Oreochromis niloticus: one gene and its partner. The protein of the gene in region 1 purifies or fractionates together with the protein of each later gene. This does not show direct contact. Links are inferred from orthologs where the notes say so. Each region holds a gene or a part of one and is shown in the gene's direction. Other genes may lie near its edges.

Region 1 (6,864 bases):
GGCCAACAATGGGCTCGCAGTGATTGATTGCTCCTGGGCCAAACTGGAGGAGACACCCTTCAATAAGATGGTTGGAAGTCATCCCAGGTTACTGCCGTACCTCGTAGCTGCAAACCCTGTAAATTATGGCAAGCCTTGCAAGTTGTCCTGCGTTGAAGCTTTTGCTGCCACGTTCTGCATCGTAGGTAAGGGTTTAGGTTTAGTTATTCAGGAATACAGCAGCAACTGCTTTTTGTGTCTTATTTTGGTTAAGGCAGTTAAACTGTGACATATTGTTTCTGATATTGCAGGTTTTGAGGAACTGGCATTGCTCTTACTGAAGAAATTTAAGTGGGGGACAGCGTTTCTGGAGCTCAATAAAGTTCTGCTTGGCCGCTATGCTGCGTGTCAGTCGGAAGAAGAGCTCCTTGGTGTAGAGAAAGAGTTTCTCACTTCTAAACCAGAGGAAGAGGAGGAGTTTGGTAAATAACCTGGGGTTCCACGCAGTGTCTGGGTTTGTGTAGCAGTGGAGGTAGAGGGTCACTGTGTTTTGGTTCAACCTCTTTCTTGTTTTAGCTGTAGTTTGGCTTCGTGTACAACTAATGGCTCTTAAGTAAATCGCATTTATTGGACTTTAAGAGCTTTCAGATGACAATTTCAAGTAACTGTTTTAGTAACTGTTAAGTTTTAGTCGCATTTTTGTATCTTTGTAGCTGTTGCAGGGACAGTAAAAAACCGTATAGCATCATAGATTTTAAAAAACAAACATACAATAACAATATAACAATTCGGAAACAATATGTATACGATTTAGTGCAAAATGAGACCTGCTGTAGTGCAGTTAAAAGTGGGCATGTATCATCAGTGTTTGCACTAGCTCCTACAACAAAGTAGTGATTTTTCTGGCATAAGAGAAACTTTGATTGTCTTTTGGGGGTACTGGTAAAACATTAGCTGTGTTAACCCTAAAACACTAAAACAGAATGCAGAAATCACGCAGCAGAAAAGAAAGAAAACAAAGAGGCTGAAACGAGAAAATAAGACTAAAGCAGGAAGTTGTGTTGAAGTGGCTAGCTGTTGCATCACTTTAGATTTCTTAATAACAAATACAAACTAGAAAAAAAAGGACTTAGAAGGTAATTAGTTCTTGGACCTCTTGAGTGCAAAAATCTTGAGCCACTCCTAAGTTTTTCATATTTTGCATAGAAAATGCAAAGTAGGTGCAGTGATTTATTCAGACACATTTAAACAAATATGGAAATATAGCGTATAAGGCTAATACTATTCTAATGAGGTTGAAAGTGAATATTTGATGTGCCCACATTTATTCATCAACACAGCCTGAACTATTTCTGACTAGATTTCTGGTCCTTTTCTTAAAGTAGTCTTCATAAATGGTTCTCCAGGCTTCTTGAAGGACATTCATTCTTGGATGTTGGCTGCCTTTGGTTCTGTTCTCTGTCAAGATGATCCCACACTGCTTCAGTAATGTTGAGGCCCAGGCTCTGGGGAGGCCAATCCATGAGTGATAGTGTTCAACTGTCTGTTTTTCTATCCAGTTATGCTGTTACTGCATTGGCAGTGTGTTTGCTGAAAAATTGAAGGCGTTGCCAATTAGATGCTTTCCACATGGTTGTATCACCAGATAGTGGATCAAAATCTGAATGTACATTCTTGTCTGTAAATTTTGGCAAGATACATTTTCCCAACACCTCTCTCCTGAACTTCTCTGTACATATTGATGATGATTTGAATCAAAAATGTACAATTTTTATTTACTCCATTTTTTTCAGTCCAGTACTTCTTGTTAGCCTTCTTTAAGAATTGATTCTTGACATGGATTTCATTCGTCTGACAGCATTTCTGATGAGGCAGTAGATGGATCTTTCTTTAAAACATGACTTTCAGATGTTACTGTTTACTGTAGGTAGTATTTTTAGGCCTGCCACTTTCTTTTGTCTTCCATTTGTCTAGTTTCTTCAAATTCTTTAAGGACATATGCAGACCATTTCGAGATATGCCAAGGTTTTAGCTAAAAGCTCTTTGGGAATCACCTTGTTGGTGTAAAAATACTATTTCATGCTTGTTAAGCTGTTATCTTTGGGATTTTCGTAAATTCAACAAAATAAATGAGAAACAATTGTTTTTGTAACAAGAAAGTGCTTAAAGATACAAATTAAAGTTGGTTCTTGGCTTAATTTTCTGCAGTGTAGAAACAACAAAGGTCATCTCTTGAGTTGGGTCCCTTTTTGTGTTTGATTAATTCACAAGTCAGTGTTAAGTGGCTTAACAAACATTCCCTTGAAAATGGTCAGGTATTGGACTGGATTAAAAATGAGTGAAAAAGCAGCCACTATCCAAAGACAAACTTTGAAAGAGGTTCAGAAAGCCTGGAGAACTATTGCTCGAAACCACTTTGGAAGCAAATATTAAGAAATGAGGGATTTTTGCACAGTATTGTTGGTCATAATCAACTGTTTGATTCAAATGTATTTTTATTTTGGAAAGGTTCACTTTGGAAATGGCTGAATCTGAGTAATTGCTAATGAATAATTAGAATAATTTTTATAGTTTCCTGTTGTGACTCACATTTGCTAAATTGTCACCAGGAAACCAGTGTTCTCATATTTGTTTATAAGATATAAAACTCGTATTATTTTTAAGACTTTAAAGACAATTAGTAATGAATATTCCAAGGGGAAATAAATGTCATTATGAAGTGTTTTGTCTGATTGATTATCCTGTGGACATTGATATAACTGTTCCTTGCGTTGTTTCCTTGCCTTGTAATCAGGCTGCCTTGTTGTTTCTTTTTCCTTTCCTTATTGGATTTTGACTCATTTGATTTTGTTTGAATCTCTGAACACATCTGGCCAGTGATGAGGAAGTCTGTATCCAGGCTGATTGTCTGGAAATGTCTAGAATCTGGATGTGTATTTTTGTTGCTGAGTGACCTGTAGTGCAGAATTAACTGTCCTCGTAATGAAAGCTACACATCTGTTTTGTTCACAGATCCATTTGATGTTAACTCTGGAGTAGAATGCATGAATCTCAACAGACGTCAGTGGTAAGTATTGATCTAGCACATCTTCACATATCTCTTACTTAGTTTTCTTAGTGGTGATGTTTATATGGCATAGAAATTACCAGCATAATTTTAAAAATGGCAAGAATTCTCTTAAAATAGGCTTTAACGATTTGTTTCCTATGTTTACTGAGTTCATTTCTGTGTTTAGTGCACCTGTAGAAGATGACTCCAGTGAGGACACAGACCCCTCAGAGGAAGATGACGAAGATGAAGCAGAAGATAAAGAAACGGAAAGCAATGACGAGACAAGAACAAGCTCACATGACCATGATGAAGAGGATTGAACCAAAGACTTTACACTAAATCATATTTCAACTGTGGGTTCTTTTTAATACACGACTGTTTTAAAATGCTCAAAAAATATTTTGGCACGTATGAATGGTTATGTATTTTTTTTGCCTATATGTTTATGTAAATTAATGAACTTTGTGATGCATGTCAACTAAATAGAAATAAAGTAAGGGTGTTTATTATTATTATTGACATTTAAAACACATATTTTTGGTTTATTGACAAAATATTTATTAGATTAAACTTTTGTTTGTTGGAATATACTTGGTTGCCACAGTTTCAGTTTCACACAAAGCGTTTTATGGCTATTGGTCATTTTTGTCAGTTTGGGTATTTAGGAGTGCTTCTTCACTTAAGTTTAGTTACACTTGAATAAAAAAGACCTGTAGATCCTTCTTACTGCCATATATTCAAAGTTGGTCTAAAACGGGAGTTTGTAGGCCACAACTGCTACCGTCTGACTCCGGCCCTATCAGTAAGATGAAGTTCAGTAGGTTGTTAATGTGGCGAGGGGGCGGACACAGCGGGACTCTCCTCTGCTGTCCTGCGGTAACATTGTTGTGGAACGACGTCACAGCTCGAAAATGAAGGCGCAGAGGCAGCCATTACTGGAGCTTCTCTAATTATTTTATTCCAAATAAATACTCGCAGAAAACTCTCATGGCAAGAGCTACAAGTCAGGTGGTAAGTGTTACAACTTTGCCGTGAATACCAGCTCGAAGCCGGTGCTCAAAATGGTCAGTGTAGAGGCTGTGTGGGGATAAATAGTTACGTCGGGCCTTCATTTGAAGAGCAGTGCTAGCTGCAGGAGATCGCTTAGCCTTACGACTCACTAGCAGCTTGCTAGTTTGCTAATGTTGGCTATCGCAACACCCAGTGTTTGCCTTGTTAATTTGGATCGTCAAATCTCACACAGTATTCATGAGTCACACTTTCTCGACTTATTTGGGCCTTTTGAAACGTTTACCAGTACACGATAATGGTTACAGGGGGGACACATGAGCGTTTTCCTCTACCAGTAACTATTGGCTATTGATAGCTTAACAGGTTCGCGCTTTCGATATCCCCGTTTGCTAGCAGGCTAGCATTAGCTTTATTGCGTTCTTCCATTGGTTAGCATATATTTTGAAGGAAAGCGTTGTGCTATTCGAGTGTCAACTTTCAAATCTTCATATAAACGGCAGGAAACTAACTTTTTACACAATTAAGTGACGTTTCTTGAAAATGCCACACGGTTTTGAAGTTGCTTGTGTTGCCCGATTTGCTAACGTTAGCTAATTGGCTGTTGGCGTTAAGTTTGTAACTCACTGTCAGCGATGGCCGGCATTATTTGACAAGCCAGCAGGAGCTAACATTAGCTTCTTAGCAAGGTAAGTTCGCACAGGCCGGTTGTTTCACGACTTCTCAGAGTTAGGAAAACGTTATTCGGCGTTTTCCTCCAACCATTACATGCCTGACCAATAGCAGTGACTCAGTAGGTAGTTATATGGCTAGCTGAAATAGGCCGGAATAGGCAGCTAAAATAATGGCCACACCTTGGTTTTGAATGAGAAAAAGCTAGGCCAACTGAACTAATTAAACGTAAACTGAACTGCCAGCTAAACTACACACTTATTGTTCGGGTAATTCAGTGTGTTTATACATACATGACACCGGTACCGGGAATTTTTAGGAAGCACTATCTTTAAGTTTTAAACAGGCAGTTGGTGTGCCTCAGCTGCCATGTCAGTTTGATTATGTACACATAGATGGTGTGAGTTCAGCGCAGTTTATGTCTCAAGTATCACTGTCACATGAAAAATTAACTTTGACATAGTTTTTACAGCTTGAACACAGGTGGGTGGGACCACCAGGCTCAGAAGTGGCTCCTTAAGCAGTTCCTTCTTATCACTGTTAGACTTTGGTCTACAAGTGGTCTCACTTGTAGTAGTATGTTTAGGTTATTGTAATTTACAGAACTATAAGCAACAATAATTTTAAGCCAGCAGCCTGTAAAGTGCTTCGTGTAATATGTGAGTACATTTCTTTCTCTTCATGTGTCATATGTATACTTTGTGAAAGAGATTTAAGATTCAGGATTAATTATTATCATAACGCAACGGAAGGTTGCACAACAAAATTCTACATGGAGTTACTTCATGCTAATAAAGAACTGGATAGCAATGTGGATATAGCTATCATTAAAAATAATTAATTAATTTAGTTAATTTTCATGAGTGCAATGATAAAGTTCAGAGATTCCAAAGCATATGAAAGAAAATTCTTCAAAGTGTTGTTTACACCAGTGGGAACTTTCAGGTGTCAGTAGAGTGAGAAGACTGTGGTTGTGGTGGGTAACTTCTTTTAGTCTCATCTATGTAAACATCTCAACTCACCTTTGTCACCGGTGCCGGTGATGTTCTAGGAAGCTCATGTTTTTCAGTAATTAAGTTTAGCTGCTTTTGCCGTGTGCTCTTTGGGCCATCTAATCTGTATTTTGACAACTAATAGCCGCATCAATTACTAAATCCATCACAGACTGATGGAAAAACCTGAAATTCCTCATTTAAGTAATAGTTTAAAGTGCTGAATAACAAAACACATTTTCTTTATGCATTCATTTTTATTGAAAACGTTATTGAAATGTTAAATTGTTACTATTTTATCCTGATATTTTTGTCATCACTGTTATGTTCAATCCAGTAGTAGTTCAGATGGTTATACAGTCCCTCAGCTTTCTCAAGTAAAGAGCCTTTCCACATGTGAATTGTTATTTACCTGTGTCACCCTGCTTAATAACACATTCTTTATGATGCCTCTTTTTCTTGCAGTATGATGTTGTGCCCATTCAGCCCAGCGTTGTCATCTGTTCCTGCTCGCATCCATCAATGGTAAGAAACCACCCTGACTCCTGCTCGCCACTTGCAATCCCAGGCGCAAGCAGCAGCCACTGCCCCAGCATGGAGGGCGCAGCCTCACAGGCTTGTGGTGTAGGAGCATCTGCTAGCAGCCAGGCCCCACAGCTCTGCACACAGCCAGCCGTCCCGGCTTCTCAGCCACGCAAAAAGAGGCCAGAGGACTTTAAATTTGGCAAGATACTGGGAGAGGGCTCCTTCTCAACGGTATGTAACTTACATTCCACTTAGCTTTTGAAATGTACCGAGGAAGATGTTGCTACATGCTAGCGTTATTTTGATTAATGTACTTGGATGAGTCATGCTGAGTTCATTTTAGGTGAAGTGACAAGTAAGCCCAAGGAAATATTATTATTATTTTCCCTCAACATCTGACTGGTTGGTTACATGCCATATCATCTCACTGTTGTTTCTTATTCTAAGGTTGTCCTGGCAAGAGAGCAGGCAACAGGGAAAGAATATGCAAGTAAGTAATAACGTATAATGAATTGAGTTATACTAAAATGAAAAAGTTGCTGGGTTTACGTTTACTAACATTCTCTTTTCTCTCCTTTAGTTAAGATTTTAGAGAAACGCCATATTGTGAAGGAGAACAAAACCCAGTATGTGAAA
Region 2 (7,943 bases), on another chromosome or scaffold:
AATATTTCCTCCAAGATAGCACTGTGTTTGGTTTGTTTGTTTGAAATCTTTCTTTCATTTAATCAGGTTTGGGATTCTCGGGAAGCCTTTGGATCAATTCAGCCACAGTACACTGCTGCCCTGTGGACAACAGAAACCTTTTGACGAGGATAAGGACAAGGAAGTAGACAGTGATGTTAATAACAGTGCAGATCATTCTGGAATCTGTGCTCAGGGTACCGAGTTGTCCTTCGTAGGATTCAAGTCGATGGCCTTTTCAGACATGGAAGCACCATCCACATAAAGATTAAACTGCACACTGAAAACCTTGCATATTGAATGACTTGCATGTGAATGTGTGTACTCTCAGTGGCCTAACATTTATTTGCACATCACACAGGTAAAGAAAGCAAAGAATGAGGTAGAAGCTGAGATTTCAGTCTTTCATGTGTGGCTCATTTTCAAAAATCATATTCCTGGACTGTTATCATACATGCTATTTGTTGGGATATGCCTCTGAATATAAATCTGTTTAGTGCTTCCAGCTGGTGGTGCTGTTGAATAAAATATAATGAAATCCATAACACTTTTGAAGGTCTCCTTTCTATAGAATATGAAATGTATTCAGTTCACATAGAAAAATAAAGCAAGTCGACCTCAGCGTGCTCATAATTCAAACTAGGTGATATGTAAAATTATGCATGCTTCACACCAAGATTTTATTTATTTATTTTAGGTCTTTGAAGGCTTTCCTTCAGTTGACTTTGTCATTATGGGTCCTTGTGCTGTTTGAAACAAGACTCCCAATCATGTGAACTAGTGCCACACACACACGCACCACCCTAGCCAGGCTTGGAAGCAGAAGGGGCTTTGCCTTTGCCCTAATTGGCTGTGTAATCTGGGACACCAGGAGTAGACTTAAGCCCTGTGAGGATAGGAAAGAGAGAGCCTGGGAAGCATTAGGATGGGGGATGGGTCGCAGGATATAGTTTTAATTTCAAAATTTTGAAGTGTACTTGATTTTTACCCAAGTGCCTCTGACACAATTCAGTTTTTCTTGCTTGTTTTTATTCAGGTCACAGAGGATCAGTGTTGGGCAAGTTACTTTCAAATAGTAATTCAATTATAGTTACTAGTTACTTCTTCAAAAAAGTAACTGAGTTAGTAACTGAGTTACAATATTCTAAAAGTAATTAATTACTTGGAAAAGTAACTATTGCGTTACTTAAAAAAAAAAACAAAGAACGTTTAACCCTCTGGCGTCCAGGGTATAATTGGCCATTTTTTTACTACTCTTGATTTTCTCTCCACATTTTACCTTTAAAAACTATTTGCTTTGCCTTGTTTGGTATCATTCTTTTTAGCGCAACCTCGCGTGCCTGAATTTACAGTTATGTTCTCATTTTGTCATACTGTATAACCAGAATTGATCTAAAATCAGACAAAAAACATAAAATCAGAGTAGAAAAAGTTATATTTTTACTGTAACAACCATAAACATGTTTAATGAATCATATTTTATAACTTCAAATGCAAATATTAATTGTCAATTTTAAAATCCTATGCACAAGTTTTGCAAACAACAAAGTTATTTGCATCCATTTACCTTTTACCCTTTTTTTAAATAACCATTTCAAACTATTTACAGAACAATCAGCTGTTCTTCAATAAGATGCCACACAAATTATTTGTGCCACTCCAAAAAAATCATTTCTGTCCACTATAAAGGAGAACATCACAGCCTGATACCTGCAGGTCTGACAGCAGCAGGTGTATCACCTCTGTTTCTACCTGGAGACAGCAGTCGCCTCATTGTTCTGACACACAACACAAAACTATCCACAACACTACACACTAACTACACAAGACAACACATTAACTACACACTCCAAACACGCTAAACGTCACAAATCTCACATCTCAAAACTCGCTCTCTCTTTCTCTCTCTCTCTTTTCCTGCTCTCTCTCCCTCTCTCTTTCTCTCTCCCTCTTTCTCTCTCTCCCTCTCTCTCTCTCTCTCCGTCACTCCTAAAACTTCCCCTGTTTTGTTTTGTTTTTTTGCTCATAAGCAGAGAGTGCTTGCTAGCGCTAACGTGGCGAAACTATTGAGGAAAAAACGCCGCGTATATATCGTTTATCATGACTCTGGTTTTACGTGGCCTATCGACACAATTTATAAACTAGCACCTTGTTGCTTTGTCTTTAAGTGGTCATGTGATTGGCTTACCACGACTACTTTATTCTTCCTCAGTCAAACAGCAGCACTCATGCGATTGTTTTGCCTCCTTAGCTCCAGGTGTTGTGCTAGACAGTGATCGTGATTACCGTCCGTGCGGGAGCGCGCAGCTGCTTAAAGCTGTAGCGCCCAGATTACTTACAGCTACTTCCTGGAGCTGATATAAGATGCGGTGAACTGAACACGGCTTCAACTGTTTGTTGAAAAATAGTAACGGACCGCGTTACCTTGTTAGTAACTGTAACGGCGTTGTAACGATAGGAATAGTAATTAGTTAGATTACTCGTTACTGAAAAAAGTAACGCCGTTAGTAACGCCGTTACTTGTAACGCCGTTATTCCCATCACTGCAGAGGATGAATGGTCTAAAGACAGGCACAGGGAGAACTGTAAAGGTCACATGCTACTCTTGTTCTTCTTTGGCTACCGTCTTTCCCCCCTGATGATTAATATCACTTTCCCTCTCTGTCTCCTCCCTTGTTCCTGTTGCCTTCCTCCTCCTCTAGTTCACTGTGGCTAATAACAGGCAAACTGACAGATACTCAACAGAGTGAAACCTGCCTTGTCTGTTAATGCATCTCTCTCACTGACCTGGATTAATAATCAGAGGTGTTAAACTGGCTCGGGAGTATTGATAACAACTCAAGTTAAACTAAAAAGGCTGTTCATCAAAATGTATTCTGAGGAATATTTTTACTCACTTTGTGTGTAAAATTAGCTGTTTAATGACAGTCAAACTATTTGGAGATAAAACAAGTAAAGGTTTTTCATTAACATTTCTGATATAAAGAATTAAATCCCAGTATGCTTCATGATGCTTTTCTCTTTAGGTTTTAATAAAGCCTAATTTAGTTCATGTAAACCATCACATGACCATTCCTAGAATTTAATTGTGTCCCTGAAACCCAAAGCCAATTTTCCAAAACACAAGGAAAAAGGCATAATTAATCTGACTGTACACTCTCAATTCAGCACAGGGTAGTGAAATTAATTTTAATTCCATGCAAACAGCTGGAAGTTGTTCGACACTTCCTTCCACAGAATATTCTGGTGAATTATTTAAGTGCCCTTTTCAAGATCCGTTTTGAAATAAGCAATCCAGAAGTGATGTCACCTGAGAAAAGTTTTGTAATTCAAATGGTGTGTCTCACATCTTTTTTCCCCCCATGCAAGTGTTGAAGATGAATTAGTTATTGCCATGTCAGAGATTGATGCATAAAGTCAGCAGATCACTGTGTAGTGCATAAACAGCACATACATTTAACTGTATACTAGTCCCTGTTATATACTTTATATAGGAACCTTTGACCTTATTTGTTATCATCAGTTTAAGATTGCACTTTGCACAAAGAGTGGACTGTCAGTGTGGCTTTTAGAAGGTGACTAGCAAATGCTTTCTTCTCTGATTTTGGATGTTAGTGAGCAATTTGGAAATCTTGCTGAGTTGAAAGTATATGGTGCTTATGTTACTGCAAAGGTACAAAACCATCTTTCAGTAATGCTGTTTACCTTGATTCTCCTTCAGCAACTTCTCCCAACCCCTCAAAAAAAGGAGGGGGTGATTGCCTGCAACTTTCTTTCATGCACCAACAAGCAGAGTGCCACTTGTGTCAGGTGGAAAGTGGAACAGAGTGTTGAAGCTCCATCTCAAAGGCTTCTCTTTGATACGCTCCGGCTCTGATTTTTACCACCCTTTGTACAAAAGTGTCTGCCACTGATTGAAATGTAATTAAAGCATACCACATTTGTCTAATAGCCTTTTAATAACACTCAGGGAATCTTTTAAAAAAAATGTTTCCCTGGAATTTAGTTTTGTGCCCATACTTTGTGCCTCAAATGGCATTTTATTTCAGTGTTTTATTTTGTTTTAATATGATTAGATGAAAAAGCACTTAGTCTTGTGAATCTGAAGATGTCAGGATGTGTGTGTGTTGCCTCAGAGGCTTGAGCTGATGATTTGTAAACATGAAGAATTCACTAGAAATGACACAACCTGTTATGGTGCAATACTTTACCAAGAGCTACCTAACACTAATGAACCAGGAACCACTCAATATACTTAATAAATCTGCGAACAAAGAAGAAAAAAAGGTGCGATGAAGGTGAATGCAAACATCAGAAGTTAAATGTTCAGCCTTGCTTTTCATCACAAACTGCAGAATTGCAGATTTCAGCTTCTAGAGAAAGTTGTCAACTCATACCAACAGGGGGAGACTTTGCCCATAGCATTACTTCCACCCATATTGTGAGCGTGTTTCTAACAGGGTGCTTTGCGCTTTATTCACATAAAGCCTGTTTACTGATCTCATATACAAAAATACAGCTGCAGAGGCTAATCAAACGTGTTGGTAAAACTGCTGCACGACAAACTCGAGGCTTGATTGTAAATTGGCGCAGTTGCTGAATTAAACTGTGTAATCCTCATTACGGTGCAATTAAGGATTGTTACGCAGACAAGGAGATAAATGGCTCATTTAGCCGAGCCTTTTATCCTCGTGTAGAATTGTTATCCGACCTCCCGGGTTGAAATAATAGACAATAGTAAACTCATTAAAATAAAGACTTACTGTACACCAATAAAACTACACGAGCGATTTGTTGTGAGTGTCGTTACTGGCTTGCTTTTGGCCGCTCGTTCACAAGTTCTCTCTGCGTCTCGCGGTGACTCGGTCGGAAGGAGCGCACGCACTCACCGGAGCGCCGGTGGCGCCGTGCTCGCGCTTCTACACTTTGCCCCCTTCTTATTTCGAGCGAGCGCTCGCGCGGAGGGAGAGCGAGGTGTCTCGTGCAGATTCCACTGACACACACATACCGGCGCGCGGAGGACCTCGCTGTTAAACCGTGCGCATTTGTGCGGTTACATACATTTTGTAAGATTTTACCCAGCATAAAAAAAAGAGAGAAAGAAAAAAAAGAAGTGCCCGGGGTGAGGGGAGGAGGAATAATCAAAACGCAACACGTATCCGGTGGGATCCCACTCCTGAGAGAGAGAGAGAAGCGGCAGGAGTTGGGTGCAAGGAAAACGAAGGGGAGAAAGAAGAAGAAGAAGAAGAAGAGTGGGGAAACATCTGACATTTCGTTTGCAACAACGCGTTTTTAACCCTCAAAGAGGAATTATGAGGAACGTTTGGATAATTTTCACCCTCGGGCTGGTTCTTTTCCTCGCCGAGGAAACGGTAAGTTTTTGGGTTTTTTGGGAAAGCAAACTTAAACTACTGGGCATTGAGCTGGGCTGTGAAGGGGGGCGAGGAAGGCGACTTGGGTCCACGTAGAGACAACTCGCTGCTGTTTGTAGCTGTTAGAGAAATCCCGTCAAAGCATTCCTTTTATTTTTTATTTTTTTTAATTGCACGGCAAATAACGAGAAGGGTTGTCTAGAATGATAAATCGTTGTCAGCTAATCTATCTTAACCAGCTACAATAAAGGCTACTGCTGCCCTTGTGCTCAAGTATTCATTTCCTTTAGATTCAAGCCTGCCTTCGTTCTTATTTACCCAGAGGTGCTCGGCTTTAGTCTTCCACACACTTTAATTGCCGTTATACGAGCGAAGTTAGGCTGGAACGAGGGGTCACTAAACTGGCTACGAGGTGCTCTGTACAGCTGTGTTGCAGTGATTTCACGAGGATCTCTTAATCCCCGTGGAGACAACTGTGCAGATTCATGCCCACAGTAGTTGCATTATTGAGGAAATGTCATCATGACTGGAGACTGGAGAATTCTGTTATCCCCCCTTCATCATGATGAGAAGAATCATCTTAATGATGCTTAAAAAAATCAGTGAAGTTTCCCTTATCTCTTCCCAGTTTCAGGCTCGAGTAAGTCTCCTAACTGAGTGGGCATCAGCCTGTAAATTGGCTGGGTTGTTGGAATGACAGATTTTGGCACTTTTATGTGCAGCCTCTGTCATTATTGTCCCCTCCTGTTGTTTCTCTGTGGGTTGTGACTTGTCGCCTGGCACAGCGCCTCCTCCACTGTTAGAACCACTTGTCCAATTAGCTGATTCAGTCACTGTTGTTTTAATGACTCATTGTTTTACATGATGTCACCCCCAGAGTACTTTTTTTTTTTTTTAAACATTTTTTTTATTTTAATGTTTTCTCTGTGTCTGCAAGAAACCATTTGAGTCTTCACCATACTTTCACTATAGGATGCCAAGTTTTGTAAAGGTCCTCAAAATTTCAGTACAAGAGACAATTATACTCTTGAAAATGCATATAAAGTTGAACCAGTTTAGAATATACCAGTTCAGAAGTTTCTATTATAGACCTATAATGAAATTCTTGCTACATTTTAGATTCATATGAATAAAATATAATATCTGGCAAAACTTGTCACATAGTGGCATGCTTTTAAATCTTCATCAACTATTCATACACGCAGGCACACGCAGACTTTAACCTGATCATTACTGGCCTCCCTTTTATCAGTGTCCCCTAAAGGCCTTGATGGAAATTGACACGTGACATTGATTCTCAGTATTGGCACCGATGTTGACAAGTGGTTGATAACCTGCTTCAGGCACATCTGTCTGTGTGTTAATTACCCCACTACATCACAGAGGTATGTTGTAACACTTGGAGGCTTTTGAAATTTTAATGATAAAACTAACTGCTCCTGGCTTCAGAGAAGGAATTATATCACCACAGAGCAAGAGACAGGACTCTTTGTTACCCTGCAGTTCTAGGCGCCACTAGTGCCTCTTTTACTTATCGTGTTTTTGGTTTGCTGTCCTGCTCACCAGCTTGCTTGCTGAGTAATTCTTTTACAGCAATCTCACATGTGAGGTCCTTGCACATGCTAATGAAAAGACGGGTTTTGCCAAACCGTGCATGCTTGCTGTCGTCATATCTCTCAAAGATGATGTAGTGAGTGTGGACCTGTGGCAGTCTGATTGTTTCCCCTGACATTTTTCAAGGTCTGGAATCTCCGAGTTGTCATGTCGATCGGTTGGTCGATACGCTCTCATCCGAACAAATTGGTCAGACAATCCCTGGGGTTACTTTGATAAGGAGAAAAGCTCTACATCAATAGCCTTCCAGGATTAACCCATTATCTTTAGAGCAGGCTACCTGTGGAAACAGGTTGTTTGTACCTTTTAACACGACCTAAACATTTACGTCAAGTCAGTCAAAGTGTAAGCGGCATGATCGTAACAGAGCTGATTAGTGGCGAGTTTGCATGTTAACCTGTTTGCTTTCAGGTGTTCTGTGTTACATGCTTGAGTAACCTTTGAGTGTGAGCATGCCAGAATTGGCGTGTTTCAATAAGTTTGGTCTAAAAATAGTCTCGTAACAGCGGGCACATCCTGCAACAGCTTCAGGGCACTACCATATGCCAATAGAAGGTGGATGTAAACCCTCCGTCTCTCTTTTAGATGTAGCTCATCTAGAGTTAACATGCAATTGTATTTTTGTTTGTTTTTTTTGGTTCCCCTACAACTAAAGAAAGCTCAATTTCAGTCAGCCAGGATTGTCTTTATTGGCTGACGACCACTACAACCTTACCTTTTGTCACGCCTCTGCTTCCAAGTATTTCTGTGAACAAGGAGGATGAGTTTGAGTGAAGCTAGGCTATATATCCTCAGCCCACCCCGCTGTGTTTTGGTGCACACCACTCACCAGATGTTGTGGTCTGTAATTTGTGTCATGTTTTGGTGGGAAGCGGGGGTGTTGTTCACCTCCCTTTACATCTGTGATTTACGGGTGGTGGGGTGGGGGGGCTTTTGAGT

Evidence for each region.
Region 2: the proteins of pdpk1b (region 1) and sdc2 purify together in Homo sapiens (affinity purification with mass spectrometry; 4 studies listed by BioGRID and IntAct, counting the BioPlex papers as one, with this or other methods). This does not show direct contact. The link is inferred for Oreochromis niloticus from reciprocal best matches to the Homo sapiens genes PDPK1 and SDC2.

Annotation. Positions count from the first base shown.
Region 1 is NC_031973.2:19,344,100-19,350,963, forward strand, and holds the start of pdpk1b (3-phosphoinositide-dependent protein kinase 1), read left to right. Parts: upstream 1-3,849; 5' UTR 3,850-4,018; coding exon 4,019-4,042; intron 4,043-4,135; exon of another isoform or gene 4,136-4,728; intron 4,729-6,168; coding exon 6,169-6,459; intron 6,460-6,675; coding exon 6,676-6,718; intron 6,719-6,808; coding exon 6,809-6,864. Other genes in the region: tsr3 (18S rRNA aminocarboxypropyltransferase), read left to right, coding at 1-185, 291-461, 2,992-3,046, 3,216-3,351. UniProt on the Homo sapiens protein: Serine/threonine kinase which acts as a master kinase, phosphorylating and activating a subgroup of the AGC family of protein kinases.
Region 2 is NC_031985.2:14,750,510-14,758,452, forward strand, and holds the start of sdc2 (syndecan-2), read left to right. Parts: upstream 1-4,922; 5' UTR 4,923-5,330; coding exon 5,331-5,390; intron 5,391-7,943. Other genes in the region: ppp1r36 (protein phosphatase 1 regulatory subunit 36), read left to right, coding at 67-283. UniProt on the Homo sapiens protein: Cell surface proteoglycan which regulates dendritic arbor morphogenesis.